Linked DNA regions of Macaca fascicularis. The protein of the gene in region 1 interacts with the protein of each later gene in a biochemical or structural test. Links are inferred from orthologs where the notes say so. Each region holds a gene or a part of one and is shown in the gene's direction. Other genes may lie near its edges.

Evidence for each region.
Region 2: the proteins of SH2D1B (region 1) and SLAMF1 interact in a test that uses a peptide from one of them, tested with the Homo sapiens proteins (2 studies listed by BioGRID). The link is inferred for Macaca fascicularis from reciprocal best matches to the Homo sapiens genes SH2D1B and SLAMF1.

Annotation. Positions count from the first base shown.
Region 1 is NC_088375.1:98,663,510-98,667,887, forward strand, and holds the start of SH2D1B (SH2 domain-containing protein 1B), read left to right. Parts: upstream 1-1,535; 5' UTR 1,536-1,646; coding exon 1,647-1,780; intron 1,781-4,378. UniProt on the Homo sapiens protein: Cytoplasmic adapter regulating receptors of the signaling lymphocytic activation molecule (SLAM) family such as CD84, SLAMF1, LY9 and CD244. In SLAM signaling seems to cooperate with SH2D1A/SAP.
Region 2 is NC_088375.1:100,376,237-100,380,638, forward strand, and holds the start of SLAMF1 (signaling lymphocytic activation molecule), read left to right. Parts: upstream 1-1,419; 5' UTR 1,420-1,501; coding exon 1,502-1,577; intron 1,578-4,402.

The DNA of each region.
Region 1 (4,378 bases):
CCCTCTATTCACAAGTTTTTGAGTTGTTTGTAATCTTTTTCTATTAAAAAATACTACCTTATTCACAAGTCATTTTCCAATTCTGCCTGTGTAGTTTTGTGATAGATTTCTAGAACTGAGATTGTTCTATCAGATGGTGAAGTCATACATAAATTTGCAAGATATTGCCAAACCATCTTTTACTATAGTTGTAACTATTTTTTATTCCAACGAATGATATACAAGATATTCTATTTTCTTTCACCATGACCAACCCAGTAAGCTTTCAAACTTTTGATTTTCACCAATATGATAGGTGAGAATTGTTATCTCAGCATGGAGGTAATTTGAATTTCTTTTATTGTGAGGATTGGATTTTGAAACAGGAAAAAGGGCAAGCAAGCCCCTCTTGGTCAAGAGTCTGAGCATGCTTTGTTATTTCCTCTCTTATGTCAAAAAGCATCTTCACACCACAATTGTGAATTTATTCACAAGAATTACCAAATTTCTTCTTTCGTTATTAACAACTCTGTCTTCAACTGCCATAGTTTCCAGAGAATTGAATGATGAATTGTCCAAAACCACAGAAGAAATGTTGCTATTTGAGAGCATATCTCTCTGATAACAAGTTCCTCAATCAGTGAAACTACCCTATGCCAAATGCAAAGAGTGGGAATTCCAAGGAAGAACAAAGATCTGTTACAAGTAAGTTCCATATAAGATACACCCAAGTGTGAGTAAACAGCTGGTAAGCAAAGGAGCAAGGTGAAATAAACACCTAGGTTAAGAAGTTAAGATCTCCAGGTACTTCAGAGATGAAGAAAAAAAAAAAAAAGAAGAAGAAGCTAAGAGAAGTAAAGATGAATCATTAGCACATAGTTCTATTTTCATAGATAACATTTTTGAGATATATATACTGATTTTCTGTAGACGTATGAGTATACCCAGATATCCCTCCCACCTGCACCAGCCCTTTCTCCAAAAGGAACAATGCTTGAAGGTGTTCAAATGGCCTTTTTTCACCAGTGGCTGGGAGCCTTAGCCATGGAATGGGCTGTTCTCATGCATAGTGTCCCACTGTTTTTTATTCCCATTAATGTCTTCCATTTTTAGTGTCATTTGACCCATGGAAATCCCACCCTTTCAATTTTCCCACTGTATCTGAGCGTATCAATTCTCTCAGCATCCAAATGCTTTTTGAGCACCCAGTCTAAGGCAAGCATAGCCCAATCCTAGGCAACTTCAGCAGAAAGTGGGTACCATTAGAGCAAAAGTAGTGGTGTGCTTCCTGGAAGGGATACCAGTAGCCAGAGGTGATAATAGTCCATGGTAACATACAAGGCTTCAACAAGTTCCAGGAAGCTTGACTTCAGCATTGCCTCCCTAGCTATGAGCATCACTGATTCCATTGTGTGTTTAAATGTGCTTTACCCACTTCTGCAAGTCACATGTGGGCCATTTAGAGGGTGAAAAGTGTTGGTCATTTTATAACCCCGCCCTTCTAATTTCCTGAATCTTGTGAAGCTGGCTGAGTCCTGCAGACCACTAGAGGAAGAGGTATTTCCACAGTAGGTACAACTGCTTGCACATTTCTCCCCAGAGCTGTCCCTTGACTTGGGGGTGAATTTCAGGCCAACAGGGCTACCTGGGATACAAGAGGGTTCTCCATGGATCTGCCTTACTACCACGGACGTCTGACCAAGCAAGACTGTGAGACCTTGCTGCTCAAGGAAGGGGTGGATGGCAACTTTCTGTTAAGAGACAGCGAGTCGATACCAGGAGTCCTGTGCCTCTGTGTCTCGTGAGTAGCCTCATTTTGCACACATCTGACATCGTATGTTGAATGTGGCAATGGCTGCCACACAGTACAGGAATTCATATCCCTCAGTATTTCACTCTGACTTTGGAGTCTCAATGAGTACAGTGAGAACTAATGGACACTGCCAGGACAGGAATGTATCTGTCCATGCTCCTCCATCTGCCTGCTCTCCCTAGTGTAAGGGCCCTGCAAGCAGACTCTGCAGCAGCAGGAGGGATATGGTGGTGGGGAAGGGAAGGGCTGCAGAAAGTATAGGGGTGCAGGGGGATGGAGCAAAGGTACAGGGGGATGGAGAAAATGTCAGAGGTCCTGTCCTCCAGAGATCTGTTTATTTGGTATGGAAAAGGCTAGGGGTTCTTTAAGAAGTTTCAATCTGAAGGACTACTTATTCTGCAGCATCCGCTTGCAATAGTTAAACTATAAATACAATCATATTTCACATTTTGTCAGATTTGTAAAGGACTTCAATATTCATCATTTCCTTTCATCCTTGTAGTCTATCGAGGCAAGCATAAGCAGTCACCATTTCATAAGTAAAGAAACAGAGACCTGAATTTCTCAAATAATTTGTTTGTGTTAAAACTCATTTGGAATTTCCAGAGTCTAAGTTAAATATGAAATTCCAGGCCGGGCGTGGTGGCTCATGCCTATAATCCCAAAACTTTGGGAGGCTGAGGCAGGCGAATCACTTGAAGTCAGGAGTTTGAGACCAGCCTGACCAACATGGCAAAACCGCATCTCTACCAAAAATACAAAAATTAAGCTGGTGTGGTGGCGTGTGCCTGTAATACTAGCTACTTGAGAGACTGAGGCAGGAGAATCACTTGATCCCAGGAGGCAGAGGCTGCAGTGAGCTGAAATTGCACCACTGCACTCCAGCCTGGGCAATAGAGGGAGACTCTGTCCCAAAAAAAGTAAAAAGAGTGGCTGGGCATAACGTCTCACTCCTGTAATCCCAGCACTTAGGGAAGCGGAGGCAGATGAATTACCTGAGGTTGGGAGTTGGAGACCAGCCTGACCAAAAAAAGAAACCCCGTCTCTACTAAAAATACAAAATTACAGGTGTGGTGGCACATGACTGTAATCCCATCTATTTGGGAGGCTGAGGCAGGAGAATCGCTTGAACCCGGGTGGCGGAGGTTGCAGTGAGCTGAGATGGCGCCATTGCACTCCAGCCTGGGCAACAAAAGCAAAACTCCATCTCAAAAAGAAAAAAGAAAAAGAAAAAAAGAATTCCAGGCCACAGTATCAAAGAGACCCAGCTGAAGGAACTTGTTTGTGCCCAGTTTAGAAAGCAATCCTGAACAGAAATCACTAGAAACCTCCTATTTTTATATATGTTCCTCTTTGTAAAGTAGGGACCACTGAACCTTTTACTATACCTGTAACAGAAATTAAAATCTAAGTGTCTCTTGTTAAAGAAAAAAATTGCTTAATGTCCCTTGTTAAATTATGGTTGGGAAGACTTTATTCAGGATCATCACAAAGGTACAGTGACCACTGCAATGAGCTCTTGCGGTGCAGAAGATAGATTGGACTCAACTCTGAATCCAGCATGGAGAAGTGGGAATTTATGGCCAAGGAGCAGTGTGGCTGTCAGTAGATAGAAAATTACTCAGAGGAAACATCAGGGGTAAAGTGGATTCTGGCTAAGCCAGCCTAACAGAACTGTAACTGAAGACAGGCCAGGGTGATCAGATGTTGCCTGGGGGATGGTGGAGGATGAGGAATCTGATCAGAATCTGACAGTGATCAGATAGCTAGGGTGAGGGAGGAGTCCTTGCCAAACTGACATAGTAGAGTTCTTTGCCAAAACTTGATTTTACAAGGAAGTACACAAATGGGCCTTGGAATAGGCTCAGAAGTCTGATTATAGACAAAGGTGATTGTCATTACTAATAGAATACATAGGGACATATTTCTTTCTTTAAATGGTAATGGAGATACAGGCTATTTCTCTCATACCTACATCCACAGTACCATTTAAAGAAAAATATATATTGGCAAGGCACGGTGGCTCATGCCTGTAATCCTAGCAATTTGGGAGGCTGAGGTGGGCGGATCACTGATGTCAGGAGTTTGAGACCAGCCTGGTCAACATAATGAAACCCCCATCTACTAAAAATACAAAAATTAGCCAGGCATGGTGGGTGCACCTGTATCCCAGCTACTTGGGAGGCTGAGGCATGAGAATCACTTGAACCCAGGAGGCAGAGGTTGCAGTGAGCTGAGATTGCGCCATTGCCTGTGAGACAGAGAGAGACTCTACATCTCCAATAAAATAAAATAAACAAAGAGTGGATAAGATCTGATTACATGTAAATGGGATGGAGGGCATTTTATGAAGGGGAGGAGGTAGGAACAGGAGTCTAGAACTAGGTTATTTTAAAGGATTTACATACAAGGTTCCTAAAATGTAGTTTGGAAACCAGCTTTTGGAAAAGGAGGGTGGGATAAGATAATGGAGTTTTACAAGAATGGTTCTATAGATAGCAGGGAAACATGGATGATTTCTGAGCAGGGAAGTGATAAGACTGGTGAATTTAGGAACTTCGATCTGATATGGAGAAGACAATGAAG
Region 2 (4,402 bases), about 1.7 Mb from region 1:
GGAGAATGGTTTGAAGGTTCCTCACAAAACTAAAAATAGAGCTACCATATGATCCACAATCTCACTGCTCGGTGTACACCTAAAAGAAAAGAAATCAGTATATTGAAGAGATATCTGTATTCTCATGTTTATTACAGCACTATTCACAATAGCCAAGGTTGGAAGCAACCTAAGTGTCTATCACAGATGAGTGAATAAAGAAAATGTGTTACATATACACAATGGAGTACTATTCAGCTAAAAAAGAATTAGATCCTGTCATTTGCAACGATGTGGATGGAACTGAAGATCATTATGTTAAGTGAAATAAGCCAGGCACAGACAGACAAACTTCACACGTTCTCACTTGTGGGAGGTAAAAAGTAAAACAATTGAACTTGTGGACAGAGAGTAGAAGGATGGTTACCAGAGGCTGAAGGGTAGTGGGGGTTGGGGAAGAAGTGGGGATGGTTAATGGGTACAAAAAATAGAAAGAATGAATAAGAACTAGTATTTGATAACACGACAGTGTGACTATAGTCAATAATAATTTAATTGCACATTTAAAAATAACTAAAAGTATAATTGCATTGTTTGTAACACAAAGGATAAATGTTTGAGGTGATGGATACCCCGTTTACCCTGTGTGATTATTACGCATTGCATGCCTCTATCAACATATCTCATATACCCCATACATCTATATATATACATACTGACTATGTACACACAGACGTTAAAAATTAGGAAAAAACAAACACAACAAGGAGACTGAGCTGGAAGGATGGAGCTCTGGGATAGATTTGTCCTACATCCCTGCCTGGGAGGGAATCCACACACATGTGAGAAGACAAACTAGGAGCATGGGACACTAAATTATACCACATTGCACTCATTGGGGTCACAGGGTTTCTTCCAAGTGACCCGCACTTGCCCATCCCATCTCTCTGTGACAGTGGCACCCGCACCAGACTACATGTTGAAGTGTTATCTGAAATTATGAAATAAAACAGAAGTAAGAGGTCTATGAGCTCATCAAAATGCAGTCATCTAAATTCAGCTGTGAACTGCCAAATTTGAGGAGTGATCTGACAAAACATCTTTTCTTTGCAATCCAAGAAGACTTACCGGAGAGAACTGCTCAGATAATCTGCAACATCCGGTTCCTGGAGGCAGCTAAGGAAAGAAGCAGGGGTGCATGTTTCTGCCCAAAGCCGGGGTTTGGCCGAGGTGACTACACACCCCCTTTCCTGGCTCCCATAGGCTAAGTGCCTGGCTTCTTGAGAAGCCTGCTTCTTGAGAAGAAAAAAGTGATTTAAAGCCTCATGGGAGATGAGCAATCCTCAAGACACAAGCAGAAAAAGTCCCGGTGATACAGGAAGCGGGTTCAGGAACCTGCTGGTTCCTGATACATAAATTAGACAGCAGAGGCAGCACTGCATGACACGAAGCTCGCTCTGCCTAGCGTCTGTGAGCAGCTGCCAGGCTCTGACCAGGACCCCTTCCTTCTCCTCACTGGCTGATGGATCCCAAGGGGCTCCTCTCCTTGACCTTTGTGTTATTTCTCTCCCTGGCTTTTGGGGCAAGCTATGGAACAGGTGAGTGTTCATCTGCCTGATGGTTTGAGTCCCACGTTAGCTGCCTGGAATCAGCATATCTTCGTGGATGGAGAGAAGGTGCAGGGCTGGGGATTGTGTTTGGTCACTCTTCCTTAGGGACTGGCTGTCAGTTTCAACTGCCTCTTTCAAAGAGGAAGGAACATTATGAGTTCCTGGGCCCCTGGGTTTCCAAGACTCAAGCCCACCAGCCCCTTTTCCAAGGAAATGAGGAGCTCTAAGCCAAAGGCTCCAGTCACTTCTCTGACCAGTCTTAGGGTGACAGGCTCTGGTAGAAGTCCTGGTTGAGTGGTTGGTTTTACATGGGCATTTTTCTGGCAAAGATCCAGCCTAGAGAGACTGAGCTGGATGGAGTGAGCTCTGGGAGATGATTTGCCCTACATCCCTGCCCTAGGAGGGAATCTGTGCCCATGCAGCCTGACAAACCAGGAGCATGGGTCAACAGAAAGCATTGGCTAGAATGGGAAGAGAGAGTAGAAGTGAAAACTCCAGGCTTTTGGCTAATAACCAGCAGTGACCACAGTGCGGTCATACTGGTGTGTATTTTCTTGGAAGAGAAGGTCCAAGAAAGCAAGAGGGAAGAAGTTGGGATTTCTGGAGCCTAGGGCTGGTTACAGTATGTGGGAAATGCAAATTGGGGACCCTCAGAGAGTAGCTCCAGCAGGAAGGCCAGACAAGGGCTACCTTTGGATCTGGACTCTGTTCCTGTCTTTCTGGATATCTTCTTCCCAAGGCAAGCTCTTGCTTTCTGTTTAGAAGTATCAGGGCTATGAGAAAAGGTATTTGAGAAAGAAAAAGCCAAGCAAGAAGTGGACTTTGGACTGCCTGTGTGAGTGGGGTGAGAATCTCTTTCTGCTTATTTGTTTAGACTGTGGGAGGTAGCCTGGAGTAGAAGAGGTGGCATTACGGACAGGGGGGGAAATCCTGAGGCCCAGGGTGTTTTAAGCTTGGGGTTTTCAAGACCGCAAATCCAATATGGACTTTTCCAGGAAAAGCACCGAGATATACCAGGGATGTGGGGGTGCTGCACAATGGATGTGTCTTTTACCAGACAGCCAGATGAACAGGGCTTGCTCAGCCACTTCCTTTTGGAATCTGCAGACCCATGGGTCATACTTCCCAAGGTCTAGGAGAGACAGAACTGAGCTCAGGGCTCAGAAAACCAAACTGAACCACTTTAAGTGGTCACAGGGAAAGCCACGCTTCCCTCGTTGCAACCAATTTGTGACTGCACCATTTTTGGAGCACTTCTTGGTGACTGTAAGGAGTGATGGTGCTGAACTGTGAGCTGGACTTTTCCATCTCTGTGCTTGCTAGCCTCTTGGCCAGCCTGGCCCATAGCATCTTAGGCACTGCTGACCAATAGCTGGTCCTACTGAGGCTTTGGAAGTCACCGGTCAGGGAGAAGCAGCCCAGCCCCACAAGGCAAGTCTATCCAATCGGAGGCTGCTCACTTCATTGCATGTTTTCTTCTTTGAATCTTCACAAAAGCTTTTCAGTGTTTTTATTTTTAAATACACACCCTTTTGTGAAGCCCCAATAAAACCCAGGCAGAAATGCTTTGCAAATGCGGCAGGTTAGTCATGACAGATTTGCCCAAGCAAGAAGCTTGATACTTGTAAAACTGGCACCCACTCCCATTCTCATTTCTACTCAGCTCAACTTCTAATTCCCAGTCAGAATTGTAAAAATCAAAAAGTCCACATGTCCCTTCCCCAAGTAAAGTGAATTTTTCATTTCCCCAATGAGATTTGTTTTAATAGACTTTATTTTTTAGAGCAGTTTTAGGTTCACAGCAAAGTTGGGCAGAAAGAACAGAGATTTCCCATATACCCTCTGCCCCATATATGCATAGCCTCCCCTGTTATCAATATCCCCCACCAGGGTGGTACATTTGTTATAATTGATGACTTTACCTCAGTGAGTTTTTTTATTCCTCCATGCAGGTCCTCCGCACCCCCTTCACACACTTTGGGGGAAGGTGAGGGACAAGTGTGTGGGTTCTAGACTTGGCCTAACCTTGTATGTTCAGTGGCCCATTCTATCCCAAGATGTCAATCTAGGCACTTCTATTTCTCAAAAATGTTAATACTGTGATGTCATGTGATGCTGTCACTTTCATTGTCTCCCTCACTGGACTGGAAATCAGAGTATCAGGGCTAATTGTTTTTATCCATAGATTGACTTTGAATGATCCCATTCAGCAGCTATTAAGGACAAATGATGTGGCAGCCACATCATTTGTCAAGGGTGCAAGGGTGCAAGGTGTGGGGAAAACAAAATGAACAACAGCCACTGCGCAGCACCTGACACTTTCTGTACTGAAAGCCTGTACACAAATGTTTGTTGAGTGAATAATATTAGTATATACTGCATACTTGCTTTATACCAGGCACTGTTCTAAATGCTTTATGTGTGTCAGTCATTTCATTTTCACACCAAGCCTATAAGATATGTATGTATTATTGGTACCATTAAAACTTTATAAATGGGGAAAGGGGCACAGAGTAGTTTAGCAATTTCTCTGTGCTCACATAGCCATCTGACTCCAGAGGCCTCAATGAGTGAAACTGGACAAGCCCATGTTTGGGAAGCAGGGGTGGGGAGAATGCCACAATTTGTATCCAGATTCCATGGTAAAAATTAGAATGTGCTATCTATAATTGAAAAATATGAGTGGAATTGAATTGAGATAAATTGAAGTATAGAAATGTTCAAAAGGTGAGAGACTGATAAAAATTATAGAAGAATGGAGAGGGCATATAAGAAGTATTTGACCTGTAATTTGGAAAATGAAAACGTTTTTT